Linked DNA regions of Pelodiscus sinensis. The protein of the gene in region 1 purifies or fractionates together with the protein of each later gene. This does not show direct contact. Links are inferred from orthologs where the notes say so. Each region holds a gene or a part of one and is shown on either strand. Other genes may lie near its edges.

Region 1 (7,824 bases):
AAACTAACTAGAACACCCTAAAATTGCTAGTATCCAAAAGAAATGAATAACAACCAGATCTCCTAAAAATGCCTTGAGAGGCAATTCATACCAACATGAGAAAGAGTGGTTAGAAAATGTACACAAAATAAAGAATCACAGCACTTACAGCTACTGTGATCACAAAGTCACATTGCATTGGAAGCAGCTTAGTTCTATTCTGGCAGTTCTATACCATTGAAGGAAAAAGCCTTACAGCAGGAGTATTCATTGGTGGGTGGGGCTGCCCTTTATGTTGCTCTGTCAATGTGAAAGGATTGCTGAATACAGCAGAATTTAGCTCACCAAATTTAGAAGTGAAAGTCTCATTCAGTCATCTGGTCATTCCTCTGCCACTGCAGGACCATTCCGTACTTATGTATGAGATTATCAGATTAATAACATTTACAATAACTAGCTTGTAGAGCTAATACAATTTAGACTAGTACAAATATTAAAAATCTAACATTAGTATTGTTAGTTTTCTCCCCCCGACACGCCATTCTCTTGAAGTCACAAAACTTGCATCCAGTCAATTTCACCTTTTGATGCTTACACATTAGCATGATTCCATATTAGTGTTGCAAACACTGCATTACTTTCATAGCATATTAAAAATACAGAACATACGGCCTGATAATAAAACTTATTGGTTTGTATTTAAAAACGAAACAAATCTGAACATGGAACTAAAATTGTCTTAGGTTTGGTCTACATCACAGACTCGTGTCAGTATAACTACATCACTGGAGGATGTGCAAAATCCACACTCTTAGAGCCCTGCAAATTTGCAGATATCCGCTTTGTATCAGCAGATACCTGCAGATACAGATATCTGTGTACCATGTTGATGGATAACGGATAGATGTGGATTCCATTTTTATATCTAGAGCCCTGCAAATCTATGGACAGCCACTTCATATCTGCATCCGTGAATGCGGATATCAACAGACCGGCTACGTCTACACTGGTCCCTTTTCCGAAAGGGGCATGCTAATTTTCAACTTCAGAATAGGGAAATCCGCGGGGGATTTAAATATCCCCCGCGGGATTTAAATAAAGATGTCCGCCGCTTTTTTCCGGCTTGGGGAAAAGCCGGAAAAAAGCGTCTAGACTGGCCCGATCCTCCGGAATAAAGCCCTATTCCGGAGGATCTCTTATTCCTACTTCAAAGGGCTTATCAGTTAATTCTAATGACTACATGCACATACACACCCTTGCTGCCTCTGTGTCGGGAAGAGGGGGAATACAGGTGTTGGTGCCCATAGGGAGCTGGCTCCTTATGCACTCTGGTTCCCATGGAGCTGCCTACCCTCTCCCACAGAGGCAGTAGCATGGGGAGCAGGTGGGAATTCCCCATGAGTACCAGATCCCATGGCGCTACCTGTCCCACCACTGACGCCTCTGATAGAGAGGCAGCAGCATGGAGGGTGAGAAGGCAGGTGGGAGCTGGTACACATGGGAGCTGTTTTCTCCCTATTGCTGCCTCCCACAGAGGCAGGGGGGAGAAGCAAGAGCTGATACGCATGAGGAGCCAGCTTTTCAGCCAGCTCTCCATACGTGACCCCCCACGGATCTGTCTGCTTCTGCTTTGCTACCTGCCAGCGGCAGCAAGGAGAGGAAGGGAGGGAGAGAGAGAGAGAGAGAGTGCGTGCGTACGCACAGGTTGGCAGGCAAGAGCTGGTGCTCAGGGAAGTATCTTTTAAAATGAGATCTACCATTTCTCTTCAAAAACTATTTCAGTCTAACAGATCACCTCACTGTTGTTAGTAAGTTGTTCCTGATGAACCACATTTTCTTAATTCTACCCTAATGTCATTAGTTATATTTTTGGTGGAACAAAAAGAAAATTCATCTGTCTCCTTACAATTTACACACTTAATTTTCTTGTACATGTTTACATCTTTCACACTCATTTGGGTATTTAAATTGAGCTGTGCATATTTATAGATTTGCTCATTTTGCTTTGTAAGTCAAAGGTTAACCGTCAGAGAATTTTTTTCTTCACTCATTTTCCTTCTACAGATTGAACCTCTCTAGTCCTTTATACTCTGGTCTGGCAACATCTGTGGTCCAGCATGATTTTAGTTACCCATGATAAGTGAACATCTGGCTGTGGCCAAGTTTCCCACAGTCCCCAAAAGTTTGTTTACAGTCACGAGTCCTGGCTCTTAGTGTTCTGTGCTGTTATTTACCTCTAAATGTATTCTAAGAGCCCAGTAAGCAGTAGAAGGGTTGGTAATGCTGCTAGACAATACTGACCTCCTGTGGGTCAGCAAATTCTCTGGTTCAGCACTGGTCAGGTCCTGAGGTTGCTGGACAAAAGAGGTTCAACCTGTATTACTTCTAGCTTTTCCCCCCTTCATTTTAAAGGTCTCTCTACTCCTGCCGCTTTCATAGTGACACTTCAAATATTTGTAGACAGTTACATCACCCAAGCTATGCACAGTTTGTATTTTAGTCTTCTCACATCCTGACAGTTTTGTGGCTAGGCTCAAATTTGTCAGGGATGTTCCTGACGCGAAGGTACTAAAATTCAGTCAGTTATGCCCCAGTGTAGGCATCAACTCTGCTACCACATCACAGTGGGAACCTACCTAGCCGCCTAGGCAGCATCACAGCTGTTTTTCAACACGTGCATCTGCATAACGCCTTGGGCTCTTCCCCTGTACCTGTAGCGAGGCCTACGCCGAGTACAGGTCTTGGCCCAGGGTGGGTCCGGGGACACACACAAGCCATCACTTGGTCAGGCTTGAGCCCCAAGGCGATTACCTGCGAAAGGGGCAGGCACGTTTCTGGCCGGCATCGCCCGTAACTGCCCCGGCCTGGACGGGAATGGCCGGCTCAGAACACCGCTCGGCGGGCCCGTGCGGCGCCCCGGGCTGGGCAGGGGGTGGCAGCTCCGCAGCAGCGAGCGGCGCCGGGGTCTCCGCCCGGACGGTGGGTGGCGACCGGCTGCCCCCAGATAAGTGCGGGCTCCTAGGCCGCCCCCGCCCCGGCAGCCCCGCGTCCCCAAGCGGCCGGGCGCTCAGAAAGGAGCAGGCCCCGCGCCGGGTCCCCTCCCGCAGGCCTTGCCTGGCTCCCGCCGCCGTCCCGGTACCTGCCTCAGCGCCGCGCGGCCTGTTCCTTGGGGCGCTCGCAGCGGGGCCGGGCTTGAGGCCGCGCCACCTGCTGGCGGGAGGCCGCCTGCTCAGCTCCCTGGGCCGCAGTGCGAGGGGCCTCGGCCCGGCGCTGGCCCTGGGGGGAGGCTGCTGGGCCCCGTGCACAGGGGCGGGTGCTGCCCCCCTGCCCCGACGGGGTTTCCGCGAGAGACGGGCTCACGGGTTGGGTCAGTGGCTCTCAGCGTTCCTGCCCCGGCCCACCAACCCCAGCGCAGCAAAGCCGGGCAGCAGGGGTGGGGTTGGTAGGTGCCAGGCTCTGGGCCAGAATAACCCGTGGAAAAGGGATCCCGGTGCCTCTGGTCAGCATCACTGACTGGGCGGTAAAAGTCTGCTCCGCGCTGCGGCCGGGCTAGGGCAGGCAGCTCCCACAAGCCACTGGCACGTCCCTCTGCCTCACAGGCAGACACGCCACAAGTACTCTGCTGCCAGGAGCCACCTGAGGCAAGCACTGCCTGGACCCTGCACCCCCAATCCCCTCCTCGACCCCACTCACTTGCCCCAAGCCCCTGCCCCACCCCGGAGCCCCTCCAAACCCGTATCCCAGAGCCTGCACCCTCTCCTGCACCTCAAGCCCTTACCTCAGCCCAGAGTCCCTCCACACCTAACCTCTCTGCCAAACTAGTGATATGAATGACTAGTCAACCATCTGATAAGCAAATGCTTATTACTCCCTCCACTTTGCTGCCCCTCCCCTTTGCTGCCTCTATCAGAAAGAGGCATCAAGGGGGGATGAAAGAACAGGGTACAGTACTTGAAAGTGGCAGTTCCGCATGGAGCTTTGGGTCAGGCTCTTCCCAGCTTTTCGAAGAGGCAGCTGAGTCCCCAGCTCACCCCCCGGCTCTACTCACTGCTGCCATCTTGAAACACTGGGAGAAGCCTGATACCAGGCTCTCTCCACAGCATCTCAAAGCTGCAGCGCTGCATGGAGCCTGGGGCCAGCGGGGGAGTTCTCAGCTGATCCTGGGCTCCACACTGCGTTGCCACTTTGAAACGCCATGTGAGCCTGACACTGGGCTCCTGCAGCGTTTCAAAGTGGCAGCACTTCATAGAATCATAGAATAATAGGACTGGAAGGGACCTCGAGAGGTCATCGAGTCCAGCCCCCCGCCCTCAAGGCAGGACCAAGCTCCGTCTACACCATCCCTGACAGATGTCTATCTAACCTGTTCTTAAATATCTCCAGAGAGGGAGATTCCACCACCTCCCTTGGCAATTTATTCCAATATTTGACCATCCTGACAGTTAGGAATTTTTTCCTAATGTCCAATCTAAACCTCCCCTGCTGCACTTTAAGCCCATTACTCCTTGTCCTGTCCTCAGTAACCAAGGAACTTCACGGAGCCCAGGGTCAGCACTTCACGGAGCCCTAGGGCTGTTGCTACACTTCAAGGGCAGAGATGCCCTATTGACTAGTAAGCAAAATGCATTGACTATTCGATGAGTTTGTTGCCTGCAATTTAACATCCCTACTCAGAACCCACACCCCTCAGTCCCAGCCCACACCCTGCATAGCTCATCTCTATCCTTATCCCTATCTATCCCAGAGACTGCATCTTTAGGAAGAGCCCACAACCCCCTCCACAACACAACAGCCTGTCCCAGCCTGGAGCCCATCCACAGCCTGAACCCCTCCTTTCTGACCACACCCCAGAACCCACACCCACAGCCCAGAGACTTGATCCCCTCCCATATTCTCTCTCTTTGCCCCAGTCCAGAGTACCTGCCATATTCTGAACCCCTCATTTCTGGCCCACACCTCCAGCCCAGAGCCCATATTTCCCGGATCTCCCTATACCCCTGCCCTAGTCTGCAGCCTCCTCTCACTCTCCAAACCTTCATTTCTGCCCCCAGCCTGGAACCCATGCACATCCCGCTTCCTCTTCCCCCCACTAGGGGCACAGGCAGCTTCTGTGGGCCCCTGGGCAAAGTGTGTGTAGGGAAGGGCTCTGCACTCCCAGAAGGGGTGGAAATTCGGGCAGTTAGGAAGGAGCCAGGGCAGCCACCCCTGCATGCCACCCAGAGAGCACTGCACCCCTCCCAGCCCTCAAAGCTACGTGGAGCACACGGTGCAGCACTCTAATGCAATTTAAAGGATCCAGGGCTCCAGATGCCACCACTGCTGAAGTAGCAGTGGTGGTGGCTGGGAGCCCTGAGGCCTAGCGATTCAGAGGCCTGAGGCAACTTCCCCCTTTGCCCTCCTTCCTATGCCCACTGGCAGGCCTAACCCCTGCCCAGCCTAGTGAAAATTATCATGTGAACAAGGGTAGGGGACACTGAATGATGGAGGGGGGGGGAAAGAGTGATTGTTGGGGGAGGCCTCAAAGAAAGGGTGGGGTAGAAACAGGGCTGCAAGAAGGGGCAGGTAAAGGCAGGGCAATGGTATTCAGTTTTCTGCATTTGGAAAGCTGGCAACCATAGGTGGGGAGTAGGCACCACTCAGGGCTGGGATCAGGGTTGGGGAGGGGGCTAACATGCCTCTTCATTCGCCTTACTCCAATTCACAGCTAGCTCAGGTAGTGTTCTCTGGGCTGCTGCAATCACACTTCCTGTCTGCCTTGTCCATGTACAACTACAGAGCTTCTTGCGCCAGAAATATGTAAATGAAGCTAAGCGTGAAAGATCGCTGAGCCTCATTTGCATAGCTGAACTGCCATTTTTACAGAAGAGGCTCTTGTGCCAGAAGGAGCTGTCTACACTGCCCCTTCTTGCACAAGAAAAACCCTCTTGCGCAATGCTGTTATTCCTAAAAATAATTGGTGTAAAAGCATTGCACAAGAGGGGTTTTCTTGTGCAAGGGGCAGTGTAGACCACTCCTGTGCAAGAGCCTCTTCTGCAAAAATGGAAGCTCATTAAGCATGCAAATGAGGCTCACCATATTCCACACTTAGCCTCATTTGCATATTTCTGGTGCAAGAAGCCACGAGTGTAGACATAGCCCAGAGGTCCAGGTACCAAAAGGAGTCCTGCCTTAAAATACAGGTTCGACCTCCCTAGTCTGGCTCACTCAGGCCCAGAGTGGTTTCAAACCAGGGAGTTTGCCTAACCAGATACAGAGGCAGCAGGGAAATACAAGTAGCTGACAGATTAATGGATAAACCTAGGCTTATCAGTTAATAATTTGGGGTACGTCTAGACTACATGCCTCTGGCAACAGAGGCATATAGATTAGACTACCTGGCATAGGAAAATTAAGCGGCGATTTAAATAATCCCAGGAGGCATACCTGGGAGGTCGACAAATGCCTTTGATGTCGACCACGGAATGTCCAGACTACCGCGCTGAGCCGACAAACAGCTGATCGGCTCAGCGCGGCAGCCATTTAAATTTAAATGAAGTGGTGATTATTTAAATCGCCACTTCATTTTCCTATGCCGGGTAGTCTAATCTACATGACTCTGTCGCCAGAGGCATGTAGTCTAGACGTACCCCTAGTTTATTACTCGTTGACATCACTAATTAACACAAGGTGAAACATGTTTCACCAATATGCTAAAGAGTGACATTGGGACTGTTTAGGGCTGCTGCCAAAGCTACAAACTAGTTTTATAAAAATGTCCATAGTGGATCAGATCAAAGTTCTATCTAGCCCCCTGTCTTCCAACAGTAGCCAGTTCCAGGTGTTTCAGAGGGAATAAACAGAACAGGCAATCATTAAGTGATCCCAGCATTATGCCTGCTTTAATAGTGCCTTATAATTCTTTGTTTTGGGGCCTTAATATACCATAAGATAGTGAGAAATTTGTTGTGTTCTGGTAATTCTCACTTTCCACTCATATTTTTAACAAGACTTTGTATACTTTTATTTTTAAAATAACGATTTTAAGAATGTAATTTTCAGTCATTTAAAAAGTTACTCAGGCCACTTGAAAAAAAAAATGGTGCTGGCAAAGGTGCTACACAGACTGCCCCAAAACTGCAAGTCTTCACTATGTACAGAACAAAGAGGCAGCACAAGGTTCTCACACTCTAAGGCAGTGGTTCCCAAACTTTTCTGCATCACGCCTCCTTTTTGATTTTTGAGAAACCCTCATGCTCCCCCCCCCAAAAAAGCAGCAAAACTTGGGGTGAGATTGACGGAGGGGGCTGGGTCACCTCATGCCCCCCCTGGAATTTCTTCATGCCCCCCCTAGGGGGCACACTCCCCAGTTTGGGAACCCAGGCTCTAAGGCACACACAGTCTATCACTGATACGTTTCATGCATAAGAATAATTGACAGTGACCTTACTGTTTGATTAACCTCCCCCCCTCATCCCCGCTCTGTTCTGAAATTTGATTTGTCCTTTTTATGTGTTCATTTTTTTGACTGTATCCTTTTGGCATATATGGGCATGCCAATTTTCTTCCACAATTTGATCTGAGGAAGTGAGTCTGGCCCACGAAAGCTCATCATCTAATACATGTATTTAGTCTGATCTTCATTTTGTTTTGTATTATTTTTTTCACATTACATTTTTATTCTCTTCACAAAACTCTGACCATACAATGGAGTAACAATTTGTTCACACCATTTCTGTCACAGACCTAGTGGAGTCTTTTGCATTCTTTTTATAGTCAGCTTTCGCTCAATAAAAGTATGCACCTACAGGTTAGGCTGGTCTCCAAATGCTTTGGGTGAGTAGTAAGAGCAAGTTGTGACTCTTTTGA
Region 2 (6,924 bases), on another chromosome or scaffold:
GAGCAACTTTTAGATTAACCTAGTCTTGAAGGCTGGGGCTTCAGGTCTTGATGTCCCTCTCAACTCTCTTTAACAATGGCATGTGTATCAGAGGCAGCAGCGTGGGGGGGCAGCCAGCTCCCTGGTCGCAGGGCAGTAGCCTGCGTGTAACCGTTCACGGTAACCGATAAGCCCAGACTTATCAGTTAATTGTGTAAACAATTATCCTATTATATCCCAAGTTCAGATTTATGCAAACGTCCGGCTGGAGCTTGGAAGTCACGTTCTGGGGTCTCCGGACCTCAGTCTGAGCAACTCCCCAATCAGCAGAGCCAAATGACCATACACCGTAGACTACAGACACTGTACAAGAAGGAAGTTAAATGCAGAGACAAGGAAGCAGAGAGCAGCCCTTACCCTGTGAAAAAGTCAGATGCTCTGAGTTTTAGCAGAGCAGGGCTAGGCCCGGGCAGCCCAGGAGGGAGGAAAGACGCTCTGAAGTCTCCACTTGTCAGCCACACCCACTCTTTTCCAGGGGAGCTTCCCCCCCTGCCCTAGAGCACAACCCAGAGGAGTCCAGTCAGGCATTACCACTGACTCATCATGTGGGTTCCATAAGCAAAGGTCTCGCTAAGCTCCATGATGGAGAAGAGTCGTCCCATGATTGGTGGGTGGGGGAGGAGGGCTAAGTCTTAGTCTGCATGACAATTCCCCCGGCCCGTGTGCAACCCAAACTCTGAACCCTTGTGCTGGTTCAGGGTCCCCAAAAGAGGGACCGGCCAGCTGCATGCCAAACTAATCTCCAGATAGCTGCAGTTAAATCTGTACCTGAGGCCCAGCAAGCTCTGTCTGATGTAACAACTCCACTTTCAATAACAAGGTGCATGTGTTGGGGGGGGAGGGTGTTAACCAGTTAGTGCCCCTTGGGGTTGCTCTGCTCATACCTACACAGCTGCATCGCACTCTGACCTTTGTTCAGGCTGGGGGGCTGTGGTGGCTGCTATGGGTCGGCTGAGGATGGAGGCCCAGGAGGGTGCTGCAGAGATCCTGAGGGGGATGAGTGGGTCTTGGAGGCCATTTACTCCCCCAGCTGAGTGCAGGTGGGGGGGGACGGGGCATGGGTTGAGGCCCAGAGGGAGTTGGATGGGCACCAAGGGCCCGGTCTGCTCCCAGCCAGGGGCACAGTGGGGGGGCCAAGGCATGGGGGCAGTATGGAGGCCAGGGGGCTGTGGGGAGGGCAAAGGGGCCACAGCGCTGTGGGGGGCAGGGACAGGAGGACACGGGGGGAGCTGGGGGGGCACTATGGGGCTGGACGCGAAGGGAGTTGGGAGGCGCTATGGGACCGGGGGCGTTGGGGGGCCGGATACAGGGGTGTGCTGGGGGGGCGCCATGGGGGCGGGGGGCGCTATGGGGTCAGGGGCGTTGGAGGGCCGGATACAGGGGATGCTGGGGGGCACTATGGGGGTGGGGGCGTTGGAGGGCCAGACACAGGGGGTGCTGGGGGGGCGCTATGGGGCCGGGGGCGTTGGAGGGCCGGATACAGGGGGTGCTGCGGGGGCGCTATGGGGCCGGGGGCGTTGGAGGGCCGGATACAGGGAGTGCTGGGGGGGAACTATGGGGCGGGACGCTGGGGGGGCGCTATGGGCGGGGGGCGCTATGGGGCCGGGGGCGTTGGAGGGCCGGATACAGGGGGTGCTGGGGGGGCGCTATGGGGCCGGGTGCTGGGGGGGCGCTATGGGGCCGGGGGCGTTGGAGGGCCGGATACAGGGGGTGCTGGGGGGGCGCTATGGGGCCGGATGCTGGGGGGGCGCTATGGGGCCGGGGGCATTGGAGGGCCGGATACAGGGGGTGCTGGGGGGGCGCTATGGGGGCGCTATGGGGCCGGTGGCGTTGGAGGGCCGGACACAGGGGTTGCTGGGGGGGCGCTATGGGGCCGGACGCTGGGGGGGCGCTATGGGGGCGGGGGCGTTGGAGGGCCGGACACAGGGGGCGCTGGGGGGGCGCTATGGGGCCGGACGCTGGGGGGGCGCTATGGGGGCGGGGGCGTTGGAGGGCCGGACACAGGGGGTGCTGGGGGGGCGCTATGGGGCCGGACGCTGGGGGGGCGCTATGGGGGCGGGGGCGTTGGAGGGCCGGACACAGGGGGTGCTGGGGGGGGGCGCTATGGGGCCGGACGCTGGGGGGGCGCTATGGGCGGGGGGCGTTGGAGGGCCGGACACAGGGAGTGCTGGGGGGGCGCTATGGGCGGGGGGCGTTGGAGGGCCGGACACAGGGGGTGCTGGGGGGGCGCTATGGGGCCGGACGCTGGGGGGGCGCTATGGGCGGGGGCGTTGGAGGGCCGGACACAGGGGGTGCTGGGGGGGCGCTATGGGGCCGGACGCTGGGGGGGCGCTATGGGCGGGGGGCGTTGGAGGGCCGGACACAGGGGGTGCTGGGGGGGCGCTATGGGGCCGGACGCTGGGGGGGCGCTATGGGGGCGGGGGCGTTGGAGGGCCGGACACAGGGGGTGCTGGGGGGGCGCTATGGGCGGGGGCGTTGGAGGGCCGGACACAGGGGGTGCTGGGGGGGCGCTATGGGGCCGGACGCTGGGGGGGCGCTATGGGGGCGGGGGCGTTGGAGGGCCGGACACAGGGGGTGCTGGGGGGGCGCTATGGGGCCGGACGCTGGGAGGGCGCTATGGGGCCGGGGGCGTTGGGGGGCCGGACACTGGGGGGGCGCTATGGGGCCGGGGGCGTTGGAGGGCCGGACACTGGGGGGGCGCTATGGGGCCGGGGGCGTTGGAGGGCCGGACACAGGGGGTGCTGGGGGGGCGCTATGGGGCGGGGGGCGCTATGGGGCCGGGCCGCCCTTACCGGACTTGGGCGGGTAGCGGTAGGCCGAGTTGGCCTGGATGTCGATGTCCTCCACGCCCGCGATGCGCCGGCTCAGCAGGGAGCCCATGGCGGGACCGCCCAGCCCGGGACCCGGCAGCGGCGGCGGCGAGCAGCGAGCGACCCGGACCCAGCGACTCGCAAACACAACCCGCCGCGGGGCAGCTTGGGAAAGCGAGTCCGGCCGCCTACAACTCCCAAGAGCCACGCGCCGGGTCCTACACACCGACGGCTCGGCCGGGCCGTACCAACCGCGTGCGCGGGCCTGTACCCCCTCACTCAGTGGACTCTTCCGGGAGTGCGCTGTGGGGGGGTGGGGCTGTAACGCGCGCAGCCGCCAGCAGAGGGCGCCGACCAGCCTCCTGCCGAGCCAATGAGGGCTCTCTGAGTGTGGCCAGAGCATCCCCCCCCCCAGTGATGAGGGATTCCCTTAGCATGGCCAGGTCACCCCCGCCCCGCATGGTGGGGCAGCGTGGCAGGAGTCCCTCCCCCCGCGCAGGCTGGGGCAGCAGAGACAGGCCTAGCAGCTAGGGTGAGGGATGGGTCCCTGCACTGCGCTTTGCCTGCATCCGGGGCCCAGGCCCTCAGTGCACATCCAGGCATGCCTCTGGGAGGAATGGGTAACAGGCAGATCAGGGCATGTCCTGGCTGGGCGATGGCTCGGGCTGGGAGGCCTTCAGGACAGTTGTCACTAGAGCAGGTGAAGCCCTGGCAGATGTGCAGGTGGCAATGGAAGGAGGAGGCTGAAGGGCGATCCCAGCTCTGCTGCGGACAGGCCATGGCTGTTGCTGCTTCTCTGTGGTGTGGCCTGCGGAGGCGATTGGTTTCACTCTGTGAACAGCAGGTGATGCTCCACCATGGTCCAGGCAGTTGATTGGGGTGCTGTGGGTAGCTCGGATCCTGGTAGGCCCTGCCTTGGATCCTGCTGGGGCACCTAATCTCCAGAGAGCCCGGCTGTGACTTGAATACAATGCTCCAGGTTCATGCTAACTACAAAAAAAAATACCACCTCAGGAACAGGCAGGTCATGTGACTTTTACTGCCTCATACAAGGTTCTCAGGGCTGCACATCCGCCCAGGGTGGGTCCTGATGGTGGACTTTGATCTGCGGTTTGTTACATGGAGGAAACCTGTCCAAGCAGCCTCTGCCTGGGGAGAACTTTGACTCACAACACCCTTCTGCGGGCCTGATCCTGCAAAGGGCTGAGTGCCCTCCGCTCCTGTAGTCATGGGAAGAGGAGCAAGCTCAGCATCTAACAGGATCTGGCTCTGTGTGAAGGCAGCATCAGCAGGATGTATGAGAAAGTCATGAGTCTCTCTCACCTCCCAAACAGATGTGTTTCAATACATTAAATTGGGATGTGTTATCCAAGCTGCAGCTAACCTTCAAAGAAACCAGAGATTCCCCAGTTCAGAATTCTCATCAGCCTGCCAGGCGGCCCAGCTGGGTTCAGTCCATAGAGCTCCATTGAAGTCAATGAGCTACAGTGATTTATCCCAGCACAAGAGATGACCCTCCATAGAAAGGGGTCCAGACCAGAGTTCCCTGTAAGCTGTGTGCTCAGGCGGCCACCCAGGAGGCCGTCCAGCTGATTAGCAGAGCACCCACAGCCGGCAGGATGTTTCTACTGTTGGTGCACATCTGCACATGCCTCAGTGCACATAACAACATTAATTCCACACACAGATAGAAAAAAATTGAGGAAACATTGGTCCAGACTTAAGGCATGGAAGGACTGGCCTGTGAAGAAAGGCTGAAGTTTGGGATTGTTCTCTTAGAATGGAGACAGAGGAAGAGAAGGGACAAACTATATCAAATACCAACAGCTCTGGAGATTTAGCAGCAGGAATCTCTGGTCTCCCTGCCTCATAACATAGGAACAGGGGCACAGCTGATCAGATGAAAAGCTGGCAAATTCACAAGAAAAGCATATCATTAGACTGTGGAACTTATTGCCACTGGAAGTCGAGGACGCCAAGTGTCAAAGAGGGACTGGACATTTATATGAATAACGAAACTATCCAGAATTGTCATTGTAAATACTATTGCCATTTTGAAAAAAACAAGGAGAGAGAACTAAGCCAATCTCTAGTGGGAACTGGGAAGGGATTTCCTGGGACAGATGATCCTACATCTGCTTCCTGATCTAGTGGGTTTCATGCACCTTCCTTGGAAGCATCCAGTGCTGGTCACTGTCAGAGATAGGCAATGGGGCCAAATGGACCTTGGTCTGATACAGTCCGACAATTCCAGTGTCCAGTGCAAATGGCGAGGCCATTGATGTGCTGAGACCCTGCCCTTCTTGCTGATTGGCATTGCCCCACTGTATCCTGGTGCTTCCCCCTTTGTCTTCCCCTCCTGTTGTCTCTTGCCTTATACCTAGATTGTGAGCTTTGTGGGGCAGGGACAATCTCTGCTCTATGTGGAGCCCTGGTCTGTGTCTGGGGCTTGTAAGAACTACCATAATACACCTAATAATGTACAGCACCGAGCACAATTGGGTCCTGGACCATGACTGGGGGTTGGTGTTTACATTCTACCATAATTCACCTAATAGAAATGTAGTAAAAGTTCCTCCTTTTATAGCCAGGAAGCCCAAATGTCTGGTGCAAAGGCTGAATGAGAACAAGCGCGGATGCCCCTGGCCGAGGATGGGCAGGCAATTGCCAACAAATATCCATTACGGTGAGTTGTAGAATGGCTCTCCCCAGCTTTGTTCATACAGGCAGTGGCCGGCCAGCCAGCCTGTCTGGCTCCTTGAAGACTCGCGCTGCAGAGCGTCCAAGGCCCCCGCCCCCTCCGCTTCGTTTTGGCCGCTGGAAAGCCCCTGGAAAGCTGGGTTTGTTTGGCACATAAGGTGACAGCTCCCAGGGCTCTGTGTCCATGTTGCTTTGCTTGGCCCAGGGAATGATTAACCTGTTCGTTTGTTTTGTGGCAAACAAACAGGAGTACCCCCCCTCCCCCGTTTAATTGGTTAGCCAATTAAACGGGATTTTACATCCCTATCTAGGACACCACTGCTGTGCCACCTGCTTCCATGGCACATCCCAGGAAGGGATCCTGGGTCAGGGCTGCAGAGCCTGCAGTGGCCCAGCGAATTAAAGGCAGGGGTTGGCCCTGATGCAGAGAGAGCTGTTTCTCAGCTTCAGGGCCTGGCTCAGGGGGTGTCGCTGTGGATTCCTCAATATTACAGTGAATGGTACATTTCTCCAGGGTCTTTCACCCAGCAGGATCCAATATGTTTCACAAACCAGACACAAGAACCCTTTTGCTCAAATGCAGCCACCTCTAGGGTAGAATGTGCCAGCCGCTGCTCACTTGCACAGCAGACTCTGCAAAGACGCTGCGTTAGGAACTGAGCAGAATGGTATGTACTCCTGGGTGTCTGTTTTAAACCTGCTGCTTACTCATTCCATTGGGTGACCACCGTTTCTTGTGTTATCCAAAGGGGTGAATAACTCTTCCCCGTTCATTCTCTCCACGCCAGTCATGATTTCATAGCCTCCTGAGTTGTCTCTTTTCTAAGAGGGACAGATGAGGGAGGCAAAGGGACACAGGGACAAAACTGGGGCCAGCAGAGTTAAGGACAGACGTTTTTTGTAAGTGTAAATAGGAACAAAAAGGGTCCTCACAATAGTGTTGCTCCATTGCTAGGTGGAGATGGAGAATTACGAATAATGTACTATAGACTTGAGAGAGCTTGTCTGTCTGTCTATTTGTTAAAGGATTCCTCCTAAACGGTAAGAGCTAGGACCACCAAATTCGGTTTGCAGTTTCCTCTTATCATAACTTAAAGCAACATATGGGTTTGGTTGTGCCAGGAAATAGGATATGCCTGGAATGGGATTGCTTCTCATAGGACTATACAGAAAAGAGACCAAATTACCAGGCTAGAAATCCCTTTAGTCATTAGCCTGGGACCTGGCTGGGACCAGCACTTCCCCCAGTTCAGTGTTTGTTCCACAGGGGTTTCCAGGTTGCGGAGACTGCCATAATGTGCCTCTGTCCTGCCCACACTCCATCCCTTCCCCTAAGCCCCTGGCCTTGCTTTGCCTCACTCCATCTCTTCCTGGC
Region 3 (7,700 bases), on another chromosome or scaffold:
TAGCACATGACTAGAATCATACAACCAATTGTTCATCTGCTTGCACAAATACCTTACTTGCATTCAATTCACATTTTGAAAGGATAAGATCAGTAATGAAGGTATTGGTGATCAAAACCAGCAACTGCCTCTGTAAGTTCAGTTTCAGTGGCTCTCTTGGGATAGACATATTAGAACTAAAGACCAATGAATTATAAAATGTGTATATCAAGGAATGTCACTACATGGCCAGAAATCCAGCAGTTGACAAAAGCTTCAGTGGCACAACAGCATTGCCAATAATGGATATACACTTAATATCAAGGCAGATCATCTGAAGGAACTAGCGAGAGATCGATCCAGGGGATGCTTGATCTGCAGTTACATTCTTATGGATTTGCTGTGATTGTGATCAATGTTCTGAAAAAACTTAAAAAACAAATAATCTAGTAGCACTTTAAAGACTAACAAAACATGTAGATGGTATCATGAACTTTCGTGGGCACAACCCACTTCTTCAGATCGCCGTAGTGTTGAAGTCCAGATCCAAGAAACCAGTATTTTGGAAGTCCACACATTAAGAACATTTGTATGAAAAACATTAATGTCTATAAGAAGTTTAGTAGGTTCATGAAGCACAATTTTTACAAGGGTGTCATCCTAGGCTACACAAGCATAATGGATTCATGGCTAGATACACATTAATTGTGAGCATCAAGATAAGAACAAAATTACTCATCTGTGTTAATCATTAAATTCAAATACACAGGAGACTCTGCATCCAATGGTCTCGTTAAAATGAAACAACCGAGTGATACCCTAAAACTAGTTACACAAAAAACTGGCCTAACATCAAATGATTTCAGGATGAAACTGAACCATCAGCCAGAGGGTGCAAACAATATCAAGTTCATGCTGACCCAATACAACTTTAAGTACCAAACTACTGATTTCAAGAGCTGGCATGGGGCAGAATTATGTTCCCCAAAAATACTTGACAACCAGCACATCAAGCATAATGAAGACCCAGCCAGGTGGGCCGTCTATAGAACACTCAACACAATTCATCTACGGTACCTGGAATTCCTTCACATACATATCCAGTTGCGTTCAGTCCAACATAGCTGCCTCAAATAATTGACTTCCAAACAGACAAAAAATTAGCCTCACCTAAAGGCATGGGCACCAGATTTATATAATTTTTCATAGTACCCAGAACAGGTTCAAGCACAGCCATATCATCCATTGGACACATTGAGGCAACCCCCTGGACTCTGTCATCTGGGGGGGCCCTGTGCTTCAAAGGTATGTGGAGTCCAGGATGACCTCAGGTTTAGTGGGGGGACCTGGTACTGGCTACAACAAGTGACTCTGCCCCAGCGTGCTCTGCTCCGCCCCGCCAGCTCCTCTTGTCATTCCAGGAAGGGCAGAAACCAGAAAAAGGTGGGGGCTTGAGAGAAGGGGTGGAATGGTGACATAAAGAGGTAGGGTGGGTGTAGAGAAGAGGTAGGAAAAAAGCAGGGTAGGGCAGGCTCTTGAGGGATGGGTAGGAGAGGGATGGGATGGGATGGGATGGGATGGGGCCAGGTATCTTGCTGCTGCTAATTCCAGCCCCCTGCTAGTTCCTCAAGCCACCCATGACCCCACTTGCCCCTGAAGCACTGGGGTCCCCAAAGCACAGGACCCAGTCCATCATCCATCCTTTGGAAAGGGCATCTCTGAAACCATAAGCCCCTATATGGGTGAAGCTGGACCCACATTCCTGAATATTGACTCGCTTGGGATAGACATATTAGAACTGAAGACGAATGAATTATAAAATGTATGCGTCAAGGAATACCACTACTCTTGAGATAGACAAAGTTTTAGTGGCTCTCTTGGGATAGACATATCAGAACTGAAGACCCATGAATTATAAAACATGTGCATCAAGGAACGCCACTACATGGCCAGAAATCCAGCGGTTGCCAAAAGCTTCAGAATCATACAACCAATTGTTCATCTGCTTGCACAAATACCTTAGTTGCATTCAATTCACGTTTTGAAAGGATAAGATCAGTAACGAAGGTATTGGTCATCAAAAACCATCAACTGCCGCTCTAAGTTGAGTTTCAGTGGCTCTCTTGGGATAGACATACTAGAACTGAAGACCCAATGAATTATAAAATGTGTAGATCAAGGAATGTCACTACAGGGCCAGAAATCCAGCAGGTTGCCAACAGCTTCAGTGGCACAACAGCATTGCCAAGAATGGATATACACTTAATATCCAGGCAGATCATCTGAAGGAACTAGCGAGCGATGGATCCAGGGGATGCTTGTTCTGCAGTGACACCCGCACGGATGCGCTAGGACTGTGAGCAAGGTTCTGGAAAAACAACTTAAGACCCCCCCACCCCCCGAAAAAAAAAAGTCTGGGAGCCCTTTAAAGTCTGACCAAGCCGGCGGACGGCATGGCGAGCTCTCTCGGGGGGGCTGCCCCTCGCCACCTGCCCCCCCCCCCCGGCACGCCATCCCGAATACGCGTGCGCACCCAGGGGCTTTGCACCCCACTTCGCCTCCCCGCCAGAGGGGCACAGGAGCCGCCCCGCCCCTCTCCTCACGCGCCCCACGGGGGCCGGGCCCCTCCCCCCCCGGCGTGAGGCGGCCTCGCGGGCGCCCCCTCACCTGAAGCGGCCCCCGCAGTGCTGGCACTGGTCGCCCACCCAGCCGGCCTGGCACTCGCACTGCCCGCTGCCCGGCTGGCAGCGCCCGCCATTGGCGCACGGCTTGTCGCACTCCTTCGCCTCGCCCGCCGCGCCGGGCCCCGCCGCCAGCAGCAGCAGCGCCAGCAGCAGCAGCAGCGCCGGCCCGCCCCGGCCGCGGCTCCGGCTCCGCTCCATCGGCCGCCGGACTCGGCTCTGGCGTCGGGCTCCTGCTCGCGCGGCGCCTCCTCCTCCCCGGGCCGGACGGTGGCCGGCGAGGGAAAGCTGCGCGCGGCCCGCGACGGTGGCCGAGGAGGAAGGGGACGTCGCCGCCGCCGCCGCCGCTCGCGCTCCCCCAGCGGCAGGGCCGGGGCCGCGGGGAGATGACGTCACCGCCCGCGCGACGGCCTCGCGGGGACCGGTCGCGTCCCGCCCCCCCGCGCACGAGATACGGGGGGCGCCGTTTTCCTTCCCCTCCCCCCTCCCTCCGGTGTTCAGCACCCGGGGGGGGGGGGGCGTGGCCGTGGCTCGGGCTCCACCGACCCGCCTGCTGCCTCCTGTCCCACAGAGGCAGCAGCATGGGGACTGGAGCAGCCTCTGTCCCAGGGGAGCTCGCCCCCCCTCCCCCCCCCCCATAGGCTTGCCAGATGCTTTCACCAAAATTCCCAAACATGATTGAGGGAAGAAGAAAAAAAGGCGGGGACCAAAGTTGTTGAGAAAAAAAAAAAAAAGGTCACTGTGCCTTTAAATGACCTCACGCCCCCTCCCCCCCCACCACATGCAGCAGGGGAAAACTGTCCCCCCCCCCAGGCTTCCATCCTGAGGGAAACAAGAAATACCATCGAATTTATGCCATCGTGTGCCGAAAGTGTCCGTCCGCTAGGTACGTTGGACAAACGTCTCAGACACGTCGCCAAAGGATCAATGCCCACGAAACAGATATCAGACAGGATCCCAAAGAAAAAAGAGTTTCTTGCCATTTCAGCCAGAAAGGACATTGTCTCAACGACTTGATTACCTGCATCCTGCTTCAAAGACCTTTTAAGACGTCACTTCAAAGAGAATCCTCTGAACTGTCATTCATGCTTAAATTCGACACTTTACGCCTAAGTTTAAACAAAGACACTAATTATCTTACCCATTACAAAGATAGCTTCCCCAATTATCACCTCTAATATCATTAGGTCACAGACATTTACGTTCCCCCCTTTTCCCCCCCTTCCATCCCCCTTCTGTTCTGAAATTTGATTTGTCCTTTTCATATGTGTTCGCTTTTTTTTAATTGTATCCTTTGGTATATATGGTTGTGACAATTTTCTTCCACTATTTGATCTGAGGAAGTGGGTCTGGCCCACGAAAGCTCATCACCTATTAAACCATCTTGTTAGTCTTTAAAGTGCTACACAGTCCTGTTTTTGGTTTCAAGAAATACCAGACATTTCAGGTAATTTCTGGAGGGTTTTACTAGCCAGGGGAGCCAAATACCGAACAGTCTGGGCAAAACCCAGACACCTGGCAACCATAGCTGGTTTTTAAACTGGCTCCTCTCATGGACCAGCTCCCACCTGCCACCCCAGGATGTTGCCTCTAATACAGCAGCAAGGGGGCGCCTGGGAAGTGAGGCCAGAGTGCACTGGCTTTTGGCCCCACCCCCGGAGACAGTCGAATAGTCGTGTAACTGATAAGATCCCATGCACTTACATGACTATTTAATTACACTATATCTAACATCCCTAGTACACACTAGAGATGTAAGTGAGTAGTGTAGGCTTATTGGGTATTGGTGTCACTACTCAACTAGTTGCTTCTCCCGCCCCTTGCTACCTCTATCAGAGGCAGCAAGAGAGCAGGAGCCAGTGCTGCGGGGAGCCAGCTTTTAAAGCCGGATCCTCCAAGTACCGTATCCATGGGGGCGGGGGCAAGGAAGGCAGAGGCACATCGGGAGACTAGGCGTGAGATGGGACTACTTCAGTCCCCGCTGGCACTGGTTCCCACTGCTGACGCGTCTGCTTTTCAAAAACAGTCTAGTGCAAGCTGGGAGAAATGGGTGTCCACAAAAGAAAGTCCTGACTCAGTGATGAGACGAGATGAAGCCTGCAACAGCAGAAAAATATTATTAAATTCTGTTGCAATATTCATAGAGGCCAAGGCCTAAGCTGACCACTGTGATCATACAGTCTTATCATGACCTGTATAACACAGACCATAGAACTTCCCCAAAATAATTCCTAGTGTAGATCTGCTAGGAAAAACTAACTAATTTCATTTAAAAATTACCATCGATGGAAAATCCATTATGACCTTTAGTAAATTGCTTCAGTGGTTAGTTACTTTCACTGGTAAAACTTTGGATCCCATTCTAGTTTGTCTGCTTTACCTTCTAGCCACTGGATCATGTTACACATCTTTCCTAGATGGAAATACCCATTTTAAAATATTTTTTCTGTGCAAACATATATACACTTTAATCAACCCTTAACCTTCTGTTACTTAAGCTAAATCAGGCATGTCCAAAGTCCGGCCCGCGGGCCAATTGCGGCCCGTGTTCCAGTTTAATACGGCCCCACAGGTAATTTGGCAATATCTATCTTTTATGGCCCCCAATGAATCCATATGTATTGAGATGAATACATTGTAAAATCTCAGTTAATGTCAGTTGGTCTAAATCAGTTATAAATATATTTGGACACAACATATATACTTGGTGTTATGTTCCTGTTCATATTTTTTTAACTTAAAAGTTGACAGACAACCTTTCATATATATTTCAGCTTCCTGGATTTTTTTTTCATCTGGCCTTCAGATATGAAAGGCAGAGTGATTTAACACCTGTTTAGATTTGTCATCCATGTGACGAAATGAAAAGTATGCCGTTTGCAATAAACTTTGCATAAAATAGTTAATTTGCATTTAATTTTAATGGTTCAAAGAATGTCAGGCAAAATGGTCGGCCCTCACGCATGTTCACTTCATCAAATCTGGCCCTCTTTGAAAAATGTTTGGACACCCCTGAGCTAAATAGATTGTCATACCTATCACTTAAGGCATGCTTTCTATTCCTTTAACCAGTCCAGTGGCTGTCCTCTGACACTTCTTCAGTTTCACAATGTATTGTCTAAAGACCTCAATCATAATAAGCACTGTACAAAATGACAGACATGCCAAGCGCCACAGAGCTCACAATCTAGGATTCAGAGAAACAACAACAGGTGAATGAAGAGTTAACAGAAGGAAAAAGAAAGACAAGAAAACAGAAAAATGTCAGTATTTGCATTGATAGTCACAGCGCTCCCACTAAGGACTAAAGGACATAGAAGAATGTTTGTTTAAACAGAAACACTCACATTTCATACCTGATTTACTACAGTATAGACAAAAAGTTTACAATATCACAATGATCAATAGTCACAGAGAGGTAGGCGTGTTAGTCTGCATCTGCAAAAATAATGCAGAGTTCTGTGACATCATGTCTACACTCGCTGCTTCTTGCGCGAGTAATATGCAAATGAGGCTAAGCATGGACTATCGCCAAGCCTCATTTGCATACCTAATAAGCCACCATTTTTTTTCAGAAGAGGCTCTTGAGCAAGGAGGAGCATCTACACTGCCTCTTCTTGCGAAAGAAAAACCCTCTTGCGCAATGCCGTTACACCTATTACTTTTCAAGTTACTTTTCATGTGCGCGAGAGGCACATGGTGGAGGGGAGGAGATGGGGAAGCTGCAGGTGGAGGAGCAGTGGACCGCATGCAGACCACCACTTGCCAAACACTGGTGTAGAGACTGGTCCAGAAGAGCAAAATTGTGAGAAAGCAAAGTGAGCAATACTTCTCAGCATTATCATCATACCCTTGAATGACCTGAGGTATTGGAGTGAGGCAACAAATACTTTTCTGAACAGACTAATAAGAATGATGAGTAGTCCTGTGGCATCGTAGGGTATGTCTACACTGCCACCCTAGTTCAAACTAGAGTGGCTAATATAGTCATTTGAACTTGCAAATGAAGCTTTATTTGCATGTTCGAATGACATTAGCCACCCTAGTTTGAACCAGGGTGGCAGTGTAGACATACCCTTAGAGACTAACGAATATATATATATGGTATCATGAGCTTTTGTGGGCAAAACCCACTTCTTAGAATGAAATTTTTTTTTTCTCCACTCAAGATCATCTCATCTGAAGAAGTGGGTTTTGCCCATGAAAGCTCATGATATCATACATACATACATATATATATATAGGGCTCACCAAGTGTCAGCGAGCCCTGCTCACCAGCCGCACGGTTCTGCGCTCTGCGCATGCGCACATTGCTCTGTGCCAGCTCTTCCGGGTTGTAATCTGTAATCATGTGCTGATCGCGCTGCGGTGCCGTGCTGAGCTAAAATCTACTCACCACGGGCAAGTAGATTACATTATTTGTCGAGCCCTGTATATATATATACACACACACACACACACACACACACACACACAGGGCTCAACAATTAGGGCAATCTACTCACCCGTGGTGAGTAGATTTTAGCTCAGCACGGCACCGCAGCGCGATCAGCACATGCGCAGTGTGCCGAACCGTGCGGATGGCGAGCAGGGCTCTCCGCTGCTTGTCAAGCCCTGTATGTGTGTGTGTGTGTGTGTGTGTGTGTGTGTGTATATATATTTGTTAGTCTCTAAGTTGTCACAGGACTACTCATTTATGAAGTTACAGGCTAACATGGCTAAACCTCTGAGACTAGTAGGAATAAGGTTGTTGTTTACTATGGGAAGAATCATAGAATCATAGAATACTAGAACTGGAATGGACTTTGAGAGGTCATCAAGTCCAGTCCCCTGCCCTCAAGGCAGGACCAAGCACCATCTAGACTACCCCTGATAGATGTCTGTCCAACCTGCTCTTCAATACTTCCAGTGATTGAAATTCCACTACCTCCCTAGGCAATTTAGTGCTTACCCACTCTGACAGGTAGTAGGTTTTTCCTAATGTCCAACTGAAAACTCCCTTGCTTGCAATTTAAGCCCATTGCTTCTTGTCCTATCATC

What was found.
Region 2: the proteins of ANKRD46 (region 1) and MGRN1 purify together in Homo sapiens (co-immunoprecipitation; 3 studies listed by BioGRID and IntAct, counting the BioPlex papers as one, with this or other methods). This does not show direct contact. The link is inferred for Pelodiscus sinensis from reciprocal best matches to the Homo sapiens genes ANKRD46 and MGRN1.
Region 3: the proteins of ANKRD46 (region 1) and ATRN purify together in Homo sapiens (co-immunoprecipitation; 3 studies listed by BioGRID and IntAct, with this or other methods). This does not show direct contact. The link is inferred for Pelodiscus sinensis from reciprocal best matches to the Homo sapiens genes ANKRD46 and ATRN.

Annotation. Positions count from the first base shown.
Region 1 is NC_134712.1:35,518,618-35,526,441, reverse strand, and holds the start of ANKRD46 (ankyrin repeat domain-containing protein 46), read right to left. Parts: upstream 3,088-7,824; 5' UTR 2,825-3,087; coding exon 2,791-2,824; intron 2,773-2,790; exon of another isoform or gene 2,635-2,772; coding exon of another isoform or gene 2,616-2,634; intron 2,520-2,615; exon of another isoform or gene 2,281-2,519; intron 1-2,280.
Region 2 is NC_134726.1:3,946,548-3,953,471, reverse strand, and holds the start of MGRN1 (E3 ubiquitin-protein ligase MGRN1), read right to left. Parts: upstream 3,043-6,924; 5' UTR 2,920-3,042; coding exon 2,832-2,919; intron 1-2,831. UniProt on the Homo sapiens protein: E3 ubiquitin-protein ligase. Mediates monoubiquitination at multiple sites of TSG101 in the presence of UBE2D1, but not of UBE2G1, nor UBE2H. Plays a role in the regulation of endosome-to-lysosome trafficking.
Region 3 is NC_134715.1:129,961,077-129,968,776, reverse strand, and holds the start of ATRN (attractin), read right to left. Parts: upstream 3,031-7,700; 5' UTR 2,862-3,030; coding exon 2,647-2,861; intron 1-2,646. UniProt on the Homo sapiens protein: Involved in the initial immune cell clustering during inflammatory response and may regulate chemotactic activity of chemokines. May play a role in melanocortin signaling pathways that regulate energy homeostasis and hair color.